2 linked regions of the Styela clava genome follow. The protein of the gene in region 2 interacts with the protein of the main gene of each other region in a pairwise test. Links are inferred from orthologs where the notes say so. Each region holds a gene or a part of one and is shown on either strand. Other genes may lie near its edges. The genes, in order: peptidyl-prolyl cis-trans isomerase-like 3 and pre-mRNA-splicing factor SLU7-like.

What was found.
Region 1: the proteins of pre-mRNA-splicing factor SLU7-like (region 2) and peptidyl-prolyl cis-trans isomerase-like 3 interact in binary tests that used the Homo sapiens proteins (3 or more experiments, as listed by UniProt). The link is inferred for Styela clava from reciprocal best matches to the Homo sapiens genes SLU7 and PPIL3.

Annotation. Positions count from the first base shown.
Region 1 is NC_135253.1:5,215,923-5,222,701, reverse strand, and holds peptidyl-prolyl cis-trans isomerase-like 3, read right to left. Parts: upstream 1,982-6,779; 5' UTR 1,855-1,981; coding exon 1,363-1,854; 3' UTR 591-1,362; downstream 1-590. Other genes in the region: large ribosomal subunit protein mL40-like, read right to left, coding at 310-566. UniProt on the Homo sapiens protein: PPIases accelerate the folding of proteins. It catalyzes the cis-trans isomerization of proline imidic peptide bonds in oligopeptides. May be involved in pre-mRNA splicing.
Region 2 is NC_135250.1:26,647,757-26,654,995, reverse strand, and holds the start of pre-mRNA-splicing factor SLU7-like, read right to left. Parts: upstream 3,057-7,239; 5' UTR 3,021-3,056; coding exon 1,092-3,020; 3' UTR 1-1,091. UniProt on the Homo sapiens protein: Required for pre-mRNA splicing as component of the spliceosome. Participates in the second catalytic step of pre-mRNA splicing, when the free hydroxyl group of exon I attacks the 3'-splice site to generate spliced mRNA and the excised lariat intron.

The sequences.
Region 1 (6,779 bases), on a different chromosome or scaffold from region 2:
GTGGAGGCACATTGTGCTAAGAGTTAGATTTCACCTTCAATCACTCCTACCATATCTCCCTCATTATGGCTTCTTTCTCCATCAAGTCCATACATCTGAAACAAAGAACTGACTAACTAATACCATACCTGATATGGACTGGTAGTGGTAACCAAATGAAAGGGTTCGCCATATGATTAAGTCATGTTATCGGAGTTCCTCTCCCTGGGATAAAATGTGTGAAATATTCAAATACTGTTATCATTAACTTTATTGTAATTTTACATACAGCATGAAACCAGTCAGTTCATATACAAAAAATAGTGTTACCGTGGTTCTGTTTTCCATGAATATTTAATTTGAAAGTCCTGAACTGGTTTTTGTTGGAGAGGCATTTTTTCAAGTTTCAAAATAACACGTCTTTTTCTTGTTATTTGACTCTGTCTCATTTCGGAAGATGCACTGATCCCTGATCGCCCTTGAAAGCCAGCATTTGCCATACATGATGTTGATATAAATTTTTTTGAAATATTTGTATAGCAAGTGGTTTCAGATGCTTCACGAAGGAAACGTCCCCATAAACTCATTGTTATAAACAACTAAATTGCATACTATAGAATACAAAAACATACCGTATTAGCAGTTTTGTGTGAAAATAATTCCATGAAACAGCCAGACCTCTCTAGTTCAATCTGTATATTACAGTTAGCAGAACATGCACAAAAGGAAAATATATTATAAATTTCTTTAAAAAATTATCCCAGATTGTACGATGTACATAACAAAATCCCATGCAAGAAATGATGTCAAGAAAATGGATTTAAGGGGATGGCCCAGACCAGAACGATTTACTATTCTGAATACACTCTAAGTTGGGTGATGTTAAACAAGAATACAAAGTCATGGGTACATGAGAGTTAAGATGAACATTGGTATGTTTGGTTTCGTATTTATTACATTTGGGAATAAATGAAATACTGTGAGACTTCAATTGAAGAAAATTTCCAAATTGAATAACATTTGTAATTACTAATTATCAAGAATTCAAAATATTGAATATATTTATCTTGAATCAATTTGATCCATTTTGGGCATCCCTGAATATTCAGTTTTATTGGCACTTTGGATCATGTAAAAACGGTTTACATTTCTAATTGTTTGTTCAAACATATCCCTTACATATGCAAAGATACCACAATCATAATAACATGCTAAATTGAAAATACTTCAAACTCAAATCTATCCACTGCAACATTGGCACTTCTATCTATCTATTGGAAAATATGCCCAAGGGTTTCCCAGATTTTTGGTAGCGAGGAATCAATTTAGTACTAAGTAAGCAGAAACCAAAACTAATCCTGATTCAGAATTTTTATTGCTGTATTAACATGCATCAGCAATAGGATTAGCATGAATTGTTACTCTTTGTATCCTAACATCAGTCATGGGTCTGTATGTTTTCTCTTCCACAGGAAGCTTTTCAAGGTCGTCCAGAATCTCAAGTCCGTCAATAATACGACCTATGATTGTGTATTTTGTGTCTAAATGTGGTTGTTTTCCATATGTAATAAAAAATTGTGATCCATTCGTATTTGGTCCACTATTTGCCATTGAAATTACACCACGACTATTATGTCTTAATGATTCGCAAATTTCATCTTCATATTTTCTATTCCATATACTTGTCCCACCTTTCCCTGTACCTGTGGGATCGCCAGTCTGTATCATGAATCCTTTTATATTACGATGAAACAAAGACGAATCATAATAGTTACTAGCACATAAGGCTAGGAAATTTTCACATGACTTCGGTGCTTGTTCGCAATGAAGTTCAACTTTTATATCCCCAAGATCTGTGTGCAACGTCACTGACATTATTTTTATAAGTTTTTGTAATCAATTTCAACTGCAAAAAGCATAAAGAACTAGTTAAAAGTCGAATGTCATGAATTGAATGCAGTAATTGGCTTTATATCCCCCATTGAGATAAATATATAATCTTATTCATAACTGCAGAACTGAGTCAACTGGAAATGTATGCATCAAAATTAATCTTTCAGTATATAAATTAAAAATGCATATCTATATCTTGTTGATACTTCGATATTCAAATCAATGAAACCATACTATTTACCGGTAACGAACCATCAATTGTATATAATTGATTATTGCGCAACATTTTTTTCTGAAACAGCGCTGAATCTTCCCTTGGCATTTAGAAGCCATCTGATATAACTTTGGCCCAGAATTGAAATGTGTTTTTGAATTGAATATAGTTGAAAAATATAAAATACTAATAACTACTATAGCCTAATTCATGCCAGAACTGCAAGTATATCGAATACAAGATTTATTCCTTTCGAGTTTTCACATTATCTCATTAAAACATTTTTCTGAAGAATCAGTTCAAATGATATTTGAAAATAATGTATTTCAAAATTTCAGCAGTCAAAATAACTACTGTATGCATTTTAGTATCAGGACTATTCAAAACAAATCAATGTAAAGATGTTTTTGAGGAAAATTGGGATAATTCGATCAAACGATTGAAATAAATATGTAAATCCTATCATATCCATTAAATGAGCTAACTCAACCACGACAATATTCACGCTATAAACTACCCCCAATCGTGAAAGGTGAAGAAAACCAACCGGCCAGCTGGAGATTACGTTATGCTATATGACAGTGCAGTAGTGCTGTTCTCGACCTTCTACCGTATGGCCCGTGGCCTCCTTTTTTTTCACTTCAGTGGTAGGCCTATCGCTATTCAGAGTGTTATTTTATTGGGTAGATTCCAAATCCCATGGACCTTTAACCCCCGGAAATTCCTCCTATACGGTACCTTTACCGGTACGGTACCATTGCAAAATTTTCAGTACTATTTTAGGAGTGCTTTTGCGAGTTGGCACCTGTAAAATGGGGTATGTGTTTCAAACCATGATTATGATCCATCGCACACAACAATCTGTTTATTAAAAGTTTCCTACCGGTAAAGAATTTCAGGCTAGTCTATCACAGCTACAGGTATTTCTACACTAATTTTTATTAGGCTACTGCAATTAAATTAAAACTCCTAGGAAGACAGAGTGATCATTGAATTATCTGATTTTTATTTAATTTTCCGAAACACAACTGAAAACTAACGAATAGAGTTCAAAAACGCGAAAACGAGGTGATGTTTACAACCACGTTTGAAAATATGTCTGAGTGCGAAAAGTGTCTGAGCGGATGCGAAAAGGGGGCTTTGTTACGTCACTTTTTGCATCTTGCTGATTGGCCAATGTCACGAAGTAAACGAAGAAGTCGATGCTCGGGGAAAGGTCCATTATGTTCAAACAATTCATGACCAACAATTTAATTATGGATCATACAGTAATATTCCAGTCTTAAAATAATCTTCCTATACTGTTAAACTTATTGTGTAACAAGGGAACTGTATATTTAATCATGCATACCCAACGACTAACATACCGTGCATACCTAATTGCGGATCATATATTAATATTTCAGTTCTTTTTCAATATGTATCAATACCAACGACTAACATACCGATCAATACTTATGAATGTTGTAAATCAATTCAATAACCAATCAATCGCCTAACCCTAACCTGTTACCCATGTTACGTTCCGATGTCCGCCATCTTGGTTCGCATACTTCGGGAGCACCTCTTTTTATATTGTTAAAAATCATTGTGTAAAAAGTGATAAATACCTTTATTAATTGCTTATTTAATTGTGGATCATGTATTAACATTTCATTTCTCAAGTATGTATCAATAGGTACTTATGAATGTCGGTAGCCAATATAGCCTACAGTATTCAGTGATTGTCACTGTCTCTTTTTTCCTTGGTTCTATTTCATAAATTAACTTTATAACCTTTTATATTGTTAAAATTCATTGTGTAATAAGTGATGAAATGTAGGCTATATTCAATTGTGTAATCCATTTTCTAGTCTATTTCAAGTAATGACCTCCTTATATTGTAAAACCCACTATGTAACAAGTAAACTGTATATTTAATTGCGAATCATATACAGCAGTGGTTCCCAAACTTTTTGTACTATCGCCCCCCTACAGTAGTTTTTACAACTTCTTCGCCCCCCCCAGCACTACAAAAAATGTGAAGTCAGAAACGATTACATTACTGACCAAATAAGAAGACAAATAATATTTATAGTGTTTTTTAAAGAGCTTGGTGTTCTTCAGCAAGTTTTATTTATTATTAGGTGACATTTTCGTCAGTCACAATCTTAAATCACCCCGTTTACTGATAGAAAGGCGATTTCGTTGTCTTGATAGCAATAGTAAGTGTCAATTTATAAGAAAGCCGACGCTTTAGATTTGTGAAAAAATTGGCCACCTATTTCAAATCTAAACGTCGGCTACAACGTCATAACAAAACTCTTGACCCAACGCCTCATAAGCCCCAGAAATTCTTTATTTCATAGTTTCTATTGATATTCTCAAGGCGTTTGACATGGTTCATCATAGTTATCTCGGATATTACTCGAAATGATCAGTGCTTCCACTGAAGTTGCTATCGTGCTTGAACTGCATTATCAAAATAGTAAATTTGGACCTCCTGAAGTATGCGCGCCAAGATGGCGCACAACCTGAACTCAGGTTAGGATTCAGCTTTAAATAGTCGGCTGTTTAGCTAATTTGTGAACAGCAAAGACAAAACACAAGGATTGCTCACCGATAAACTTCTGGCTTAACATGGTGTCTTCGAACTCGTCGCTGACTTCTCACGCTATTCCCCAACTGCAAATTTGCCCTTCTACGTGAGAGTGCTAGCGTAGATTCTTATCTCTAATGATTGCGTCTATGCATGCTGCTTAGTTTGATAGAATTTGTTATTACACCTCACATAGATAAAATGCGCTGTGAGTACGTCATAAAAGATGGGAAAATTTTGACTGTCTTCGACGCGCGTAACTTTTGTAGGTGGTACGCGAGCATTGCATATACATAAAACCTCGCAATGGTACGTGGGTGAAAGAAGGTCTGGAAACACCGCATCTACATCATCAATGTGGAGCCGCTTAGCCGTCTTATAACGACAAAAAACAGGATTAAATGCATAAGAATAGGTAATTACACACATAAACTAGCTCAGTATCCGTACGACACAAACTTTATTGTGTCGGACATATACTCGATCGATGCTATTTTTCAGGAATAAATAAAGCTAAAAACACCGTTCTTTGTACAAACGATAGGGCGAAAGAAATGATTTCTTATTTGCCCTATTATGTATTTGTAAAAGATCATATAAAAATCCCGGGTAATCATTTTGGAAGGAACCGAGTCAATTTAACTTGGGGTGAAAAATCTCCAAGATAGAAAACAATATTAACTTTGATAGGACCCGATCTCTATCTTGGCACGGCAAGATCTTGGTAATCAATTCCCTGATCTTGTCTCAATTCATCTATAGTGCGAGGTCGGTAGAAATACCACCTCACACAATTAAATATATAGATAGGGAAATATTTTCTTTTCTCTGGACCTCTGAGCCCATGGAAGTTTTAGGCAGGCGAATCCCCCGGAACGATGAATCTATAGGTGGAATGGGTGTTCCTTGTACAAACACCATAATAGTTGCTTGCCAGGATGAACGATTCAATCAACTGGTCTCGCTTGTTAATCCCACACAATTGTGGCATAAAGAGCCTCAATACAGACTTGGCAGCAAAATAATGCTGGTCAACCCAGGTTTATTTAGCATTCCTAATTCCATCCACATTCCAGAATCTTAAACAGGCCATGGTATTCCGCTAACTCTCTTTATTTTTTCAGGAAAAGGAAATACCATACCTTATACCACAGTATAAAAAGATTAGTATCGGTGGTTCGTGGCCTACTTAAAAAAAAACGAAATCAAGCTGTAAGCTTATAAACTCCGTTATAACAAGGAAACACCAAAAGATGAGAAACTACATTTGTATCCGGAAACTCCGAAGAAAAAATTTGAATTGTATCCTACGACATGAATAGGATGAAGACGTCGAAAAATCATCGTGTGAATGTTTCACTATCTGGTGCTTCCGTGTAATACACACAATGTACCAACACGGAAAGCTATACGAAGGAGATGTTATGAAGATTCGTAGTTATCGTAATTGATTAGTTCAATGCTTATTCAATCGACCCGAATATTTTAAAAACTCAAATTTGTAAAATCACTTGACACCAAAGATAAGCTCACGCAGTGCTCTTGGGGTCGTAAAATTAAATTATTAAACGAGCAATTTTACAAAACATTTATTTTAGCAGAAATTACTTCAAAGTGAGAAAGATTTGCTGGTCTGTCAGCTGGAAGTTTTTGAGATCGTGGCGTAATCGTAGATCCTTTGGATTTTACTGCGCTTTTATTTAAGCACTATTATTCCGCATATCCGATGCTTGATTGTCTTGAGCCTTCTATTTGTAATATTGATAATATTAAAATGGTTCTGAAATTCTTAACTATTTTCAGACACCGTGTGGATGCGACTGCAGAGATTATCGTCTTTGTGATGGAACAGATTTCTAAAAATCCAAAAATATGGAATTTCTGCATAATTTTGTTTCATTTGAAGTTGAACATTCATATCCATAAATGATTTGAATTATCTGTGAATTAAATAAAATGCAGTAATAATGTGTCTCGTAGTGCTTATTAGTTATCCCTTATGATGGAGCATGGAATCAGTGGAGGATAGTTCAAACCTGACACTTAACTGCCTGTATGCGCAAGCTTTTATCGTTTAACTTTTTAATAGAAAATCTTACGAGGAAGGCAGAACCG
Region 2 (7,239 bases):
CTTCTCTCAACAAACAATTTCACATATCTCGAACAAATTGAAATCCCCACTTGGGACAGGAAATTTAATGTAAGGGTGGGGGTGTGGTCTGCGGGGGGGGGGGGGGGGGGGGTCTTTTCCGCCATGATTAGAAATATGTTTCCAAATTCCCAAACACAAGCCTAAATCAGGGTTTCTCAACATGAACCATCAGCCCCTGTACAGGGACACAGCATTGTTTTTTCTGAGGGTTGTTGATATGGAGTGTTTCGAGTCTTTGAAATGGATCCAAGGATCATGGAAGATTTAGGACTACTGCCTCTAATATTGTTAAAGATTTCACATTCGTCCATTGAAAACATATTGTATAATATTTACAACAAGACAGAAGAGAATGAGTTTTTACAGAACAATACAATCCATTGAATAAAGCCAGAATATATACTCACATCAGAATAAATGGTCATGCTTTATAACAGGAATGGCGAATCTAATTTAACACATTAAAGAGATACAATTATACATAGTTAGGCCTACACATATAAGGATGTCTGAAACAAATCGAACATTCGAAATAGTAAATTATTGAATTAGTATAATTCAGTGGAGTTTTATCTAAAAAACGTCCTAATAAAGTATACTCATGTTTCATTTCAATTTCCTATGAACCATCATTTTTTACTTTTGAGTGAGTACACATGACCTTGTTTTGAGCAAACTTTCAACTTTTGATAAAATTCAGAAATTCAGTATTCAGTGATATTTACCGTAGATGTCAAAACTGATGCACAAATTAGAGCGTTTCAAGGCAAAAGTGCAACTCCTAAGTTTTGAAAAACTTATATTTGATATTTTACAAAGAAATACATGTATTTTCATCTGGTTTACTAATTACAGTTTGAAGCAATATTCACCAAAGTATTTTGATTAAAAATATAATTCAAACATAAAAATATGTGTATTTTCCCCAAATTCACCGAACAGTTTATTTGAGGTTTTGTCCTTTTGGTTTGAACCCTCTAATTTGTAACAAGTATGGAATTTACATAAAGAGGATGTACGCCATTACATTGCCAATTTGCCCAATTGTGTGCTGCACCCACATTTATAACTTAAATAAATTTAGCCATTGGGTCTTCCATATTTTTCTTAGTCCTATGGTAAGCTTCCAATTCCTCTTGTGTTGGTTCTTGTACCTCGACCATGCTATTATACGGACGTTTACGTTCATCAAGTCTCATCAATTCATCAACTTCCTTTTGTCTACTTTTTTCTATCTTGATCGCTTTTTTAATCGCACGTTCTTTATCCTTCTCCGCTTCGTGAATCATTTTCTTTCGTTGTCTTTTCTCTGACGGCTCATCAGAATCTGACGATGATGAAGTCTCTTCACTCGACGAACTGCTTGAACTGCTTTCCACTTTTTTCTTTTTCCGTTTCTTTGATTTTTTTTTCTTTCTCTTTTTGCTTTTCTTTTCTTTCCCTTTTTCTAATTTTTCTCTGTGCTGTTGTAACAATGACTTAGTTTCAGTCTCTTTTTCAATTTCATCATTTTGTATCTCCGTGATTTCTTCCAATTGTGGTGCCCCATCTACTGTCTTGATGTTTTCCAAACCTAGAGCTTTCGTCCAAGCAGAATGCTTTTCCTGCAAGGCTTCCATACGATTTTGTTTCTTTTCAGGCATCTCGTTTGTATCTTCTTTGAGAGTATTTCCAGTACAATATGATTGTTTGATAGTTGAATGGCAACACTGGAATCCCCATCGCCCTTCCTTCCAATAAGAACCCCAAACAGATGTGTGGTTGTTCAAGTAAACATCTTCAATATATTTAGACTTTGCTTTTGCTTTTTCAAGTCCTTTTATAACAGTTCCATGTCTTGAATACTCCACATAGTCTTCTGTTTGAGCATGCAATAGTTCTTTCGGTGGAGCATCTAAATGTTCCACACCGCCGTACTTATCAAGAATTGAATCTCTTTGGTCGTTTTTGAAATCCTCTTTCCGCACTTTATATGTTCTTTGCAGCATCTCTAATCGTGTTGGGTCAGCTTGTAAATGAACACCAGACCCCTTTTCAGCTGCTTCCCAGGCAAACATTTGCATTGAAGCCATTTTTTGTGTATCGCCAGTTACTCGTACAAAATTATCTCCAGCAAAATCTAGCTCTTCTTCATTTTTACCTTGATTAGCGTAAGGATTCTCTCTCATTGTCCTAGTTTTGGGGTCATAATATGCAGAATTTGGATCTAAATTTCTCAAATATTTAGCAGTGTCCTCTCGTATACGTAAATTACGAACAGTAATTCGCCTTTTACTGTCAAAATTTTGTCCAGGCATATCTGCTGCGTCAGCATATTTATCATCATCGCTCAGATTATCGTCGTTATCGTCTAATTGTTCCGACATTTTTCCGCTCAATAATTCTTCTTGTAACTTCTGAGCTTTTAGGGCTTGTTTTGCAACTTCAATTTTTGCATATTCTTCAATAACATCTTCATGTTGTTCAGCGGTATATCCATTCCATCGATCCCGTTTTCCGTCAAAATCCATATTTAAATCTGGCTGTATATGTTCATCTGGAGCTATCATATTTCCTGTGAATTTAGCCCCAATTTTTCTCGGTCGTTCTAGACAATCTTTCTTCTTATGCGTCATGGCACCACAATTTTCACATGCACCTTTGCGATATTTTGTCGCTACAGTTTTAGTCGACGCACCACGGAGATACCAATCATTAATTTTACTGAATTCTTTTACAGTCTCTGGCTGTACCCTTTGATGTTTCAATGACGGTCGCTGTGTGGGGTCAACATACCAAGGAACTGTAGAAATATATTGCGGAATGTGAGGGTTGATATCCTTTCCCTCTTCATCGACTTCTGCTGGAGCGTTTCCTAATTTCCGAGCCTCCTCAAGTTCTTTCTTTTTCCGCCATTCTTCTCTCGATTGTTTCTTTGGTTCTTCATTTTTTCTTTTCTCTCTTTCGATCGCTGACAAAGGTTTAGCGACCTCTTTTGATAATACAACTGGACGTGACATTATTACATTTTCTAATAAAAAAATATTCGTTAGATTTTAAACAGAATAATGATGTAGAACAAACAGACAGCACACTATATTTCACAAGAGCGATGTGGAACAAACAGACAGCACACTATATTTCACAAGAGCGATGTAGAACAAACAGACAGCACACTATATTTCACAAGAGCGATGTAGAACAAACAGACAGCACACTATATTTCACAAGACCGACTGCGATCTTTACATTCTACAGTAGGACACAGTTCTCCAATTCCATGACATCAATACATTTGGTTCAATTGAACAAACACTATTTTTGTCTCTAGAACCAGGACCTCTGGCAAGACAGCAGTTCGCACTATGCTTGACCCGATAATATAACTCTCGGATGTTACAGTAAACTTTTTTCTCTTAGTGAATTGAATTATTTTCTGATTAATCCAATAGTAACGTTTTACATTGTGCTTCCTTTTCGTTTATTGAGCAGGGCCAATTTGCTAATATGGAAGCCCAGACCGACTTGTGAAGATCCATTACTGTTTTAATTGATGCCTTTTAATATTGGGGCTTTTTTTGAATATGGGAACTGTGCCATACGGTAACGTACCTACTGGTCTACCGCCCAATGAGTTCAGTTATACAGTATCGGTATGTCTTCCATTGCAGGGGCTATTTTTGAAATTGGAATAGTCTACAGTATTGTATTGCTACAAGCGAACAAAGTTATGAAACAATTGTAAACAAGCAGATCTTTCTCTGCAGGGGGAAGTGGAATAAAAGGATTAATACCGGTATTGGGTCTTGGTGTACAATATTATTTGAAAAGCCAGGTTTGGAAATAGACTACAGTTTTCTTGAAGTTTTGAATGTAAATCTTGTAGCTGTAGTTAGGCTACTTCAGTACTTTGATATGAGGATAAATGCAGAAATTGCTTCTAATCCTTGATTCATTCCTTGTAGCTTACATGAAAATATGGACTCAACTGTTCGGCAATTAACATAAAATCGAATAAACATCCTGGTACCGGTACCGTATCTGGGTATACAGGTACAGGCCTAGTTAGGGCAAAAAAGTTCAGAAACAGGGCTACAGATCCAAAATATAAAGCTTAAAATAAGACTAAAAGTCCCAATGCAGATAAGACTACGTTACCGTAACCAATGATATGCATTGGCTAACATTGATTGATTGACATATAACCGGTACCGTATCGTACACTAGATTTCACCTCAACCAAACACTAAAAACGAAGAAGCAAGAAAACCATAAACCAAAACGTTTATTCAGTCAATACTGACAATAAATGCACTAGGTGACGCAACACAAAAACGTTATTTTGCCCCCCCCCCCTCCTCATTTCGCTGATTAACCTGAAAGTGGCATAGATGTGTATAAAATAACTTTTTTTTATTAAAACTACAGGTCTGTTCCGGTAGGAACACATAAAATATGATCAACCAATTGGCCGGAGACTCTTTAACTGCGGTAAGTAATATCCCGTTATCGGGCAAGGAATGCCAAAATGAAATCGTATTGCTAAATTGTTGTTGGTCTTGTTATCGGTCTCAATTTTCTCATTCCGATATTTCACCAAAATGTTGCTGTTTAACATGGATTGGAGACGTATACTTTTTTATTCCGTATCGCTCGACCTCCTCCGTATTTCTTGTCCTTCGATTTTTCAGCAAAATCATATTCTCAGATTCATTCCTTTTATTTCGTGTTGTTAAAAAAATCTTAAGATATACGATAAACCAAAAAATGCAATTTATTTCAGTAAATTAGAAAATTGATCGAACACAAATTACAATGACAACTTACTTCATCGAACTGTAATCCGAAATACAGCCGTGTACGGCCAGCCTTAGGCAACTATTTTAAATGGCCTTCTTAATAGATTTGAAACTCACAATGAATAATAAATCACGAGCGAGCATTTCGCGCGAGCAATTAATTGAACTTTTCATTTTTAGCGCGTATGTATTGGTTGCGATTACTATTGTTTATAAAATAGCATTTAGATAATATTTTCTCTGTCGCAGGCTCCGAAAACCAATTTGAACATTTATTAGTTCGATTTGTAAATTTAGAATGAATAAATCGGTTAACTTTTTTTAAAATTTCCAATAGGATTCAATGATAATGCTTATGGGTGTACGTCGCACATCTAGGAATATGTATCCCGTCTTTGTAATATTGTTAAATTATTATGCAGATTCTGCTACATTTTTGAGGTAAATAAACATATATATATATATATATATATATATATATCTAATACGGTAGTTAAGTAGACATAGCGTGCTAAAAAAGCGACAGTTATGTAGACGGAAAAATTGTGTAGACATTTTCCTGTCCGCTTAATTATTCCACGTGCCATAATTAAAACGTTTTGCGATATTTTGCTGAAATCTTTTTTTCTCTGATAAAACAGTATCAAAAATAATATGTTCTTTCAATATTTTTCAAATAATTGCACATTTTCGCCAACTTTAATGGGACAGTAGTTCTGCTGGTTTATAATCAACGGGTTTAATTTTCGTACATAAAGTGGACATTTTATTTATGCAAAAATCTTTTAATTTTTCGGTATATGTTTTTACGATTTTTGGAGAGTAGGTTTGATAATTTTGATACAATAACCAGGCAGAACATGAAGATCGTCCGTTCTGTTTTTTGCAATATAAGCTCAATAAACTGAAAAGGACCTCAATTCACAACTCCGTACTAAAGAGGCTTTGTGTCGCAATAGTAAAACTGTCGGGTTCGCCGAGAACTTTACCACGTTTGCCGTTTTGTTCGCAAGTAACCTGGGCGCCGTGAGGGGATTGGGATCTTCATGAGTGCGTGATTGCCGAAATTTAGATAAAATAGAACAGTTGTGTTTGGAGAAGCGATCCAAGTCTTTTGTGTCAGGTGTTATCAGTTACCCAGTGAGTTGAAGTCGAGTCATAATAAGCAAGGATTTCAACGTCACCGAGGAATGCTGCTGGAAATCATCACTCATCGGATGAGGTGATTAGTCATAACGATTTTTAATATTAGGGTTACTATATTTTTGGTGTTGAGATTTTTCACGTAATCCAGATTATCAAAATATAGACTACTGATACTGTTATGCTTTTACTGGTCGTAGTTCTGATCTGACCATCAAAATAATTCTACGACTGGGTTTGCGTTTGTAAGAGTGTGTAATTCAGAAGGATTCCAAATCCAGATGAAAATACAAACGAAGATTGTGAAAATTCAATGAATTCAATTTTTTGTCGAAAAAGAAGGATATACGAGAAGCGAGTGGTTGACGTTTGTATAGTTTGGTGTAAATAAAAATATCTAATACACCGCTCCATATTAGATTAAAATATTTCATCTTCGGAAAACAGTTTTGAAGAATTGCATTGCTAGCAATTTTGAATTTTGTTTTGTGATTTGGCACATATCCCTGAGTTATTTTACCATCCTCATCTAGTTATTTACTGGGCTGTATTTTTTGTTCACATTTAGGTGACTCTCCAACGAGATGGCCCACGTTTCAGAACTTGGCAGACGGAAATGCGGGTAGTGATTCGGAGAAAGCTGTGCCAGGAGGTGACTAAATGAGTTTGCTATGCTTGTTTTTTTTATTAAATACAGTATCGTAAATTGATACCAATGAATGGTAATAAACCAAATCATAATATCATTTGTATCCCATCACAAATAGCGCAGCTATCTACGAATAATTGTAGTGCACCTTTTAGAAACTCTGGTTTATTTGAGTAATAATGCATTTCGTTTGTTCGATCAATCAAGAGTAGCGTAATTCTGAATTGGACTAAAACACTGTGATGATGTTTTGTGACTTATGCATGTATTTTTGACCAAAGTTTCAGATACCGCACCATCTTCAGAATCACTTTCAATAAGCAATGTAAGTGATTTCAAAGAAAACCATATATATGGAAAAGAAAAAGGCTGTAAATCAATTAAAAAAAAAAGCTTTTAAACAAACGCGAACCAGAAAAGAAACGACGAAAAGAAAAATATTTGCACGGATTGGTATATCTTGCGAGAAGTTTATTGTAAAGCTTTAAGACATCTCTGTATAATTCATAAAGATGAACCGGTAGTGAGCATAATCTTGTCTCTCCTCAACAACTTAACCTAGTGGGCATATCCACATTCGTATACATACTTGGCATACATTTTTACTATTTAATTATAAATTCAAAATAACAATCATGTTTTTGTATT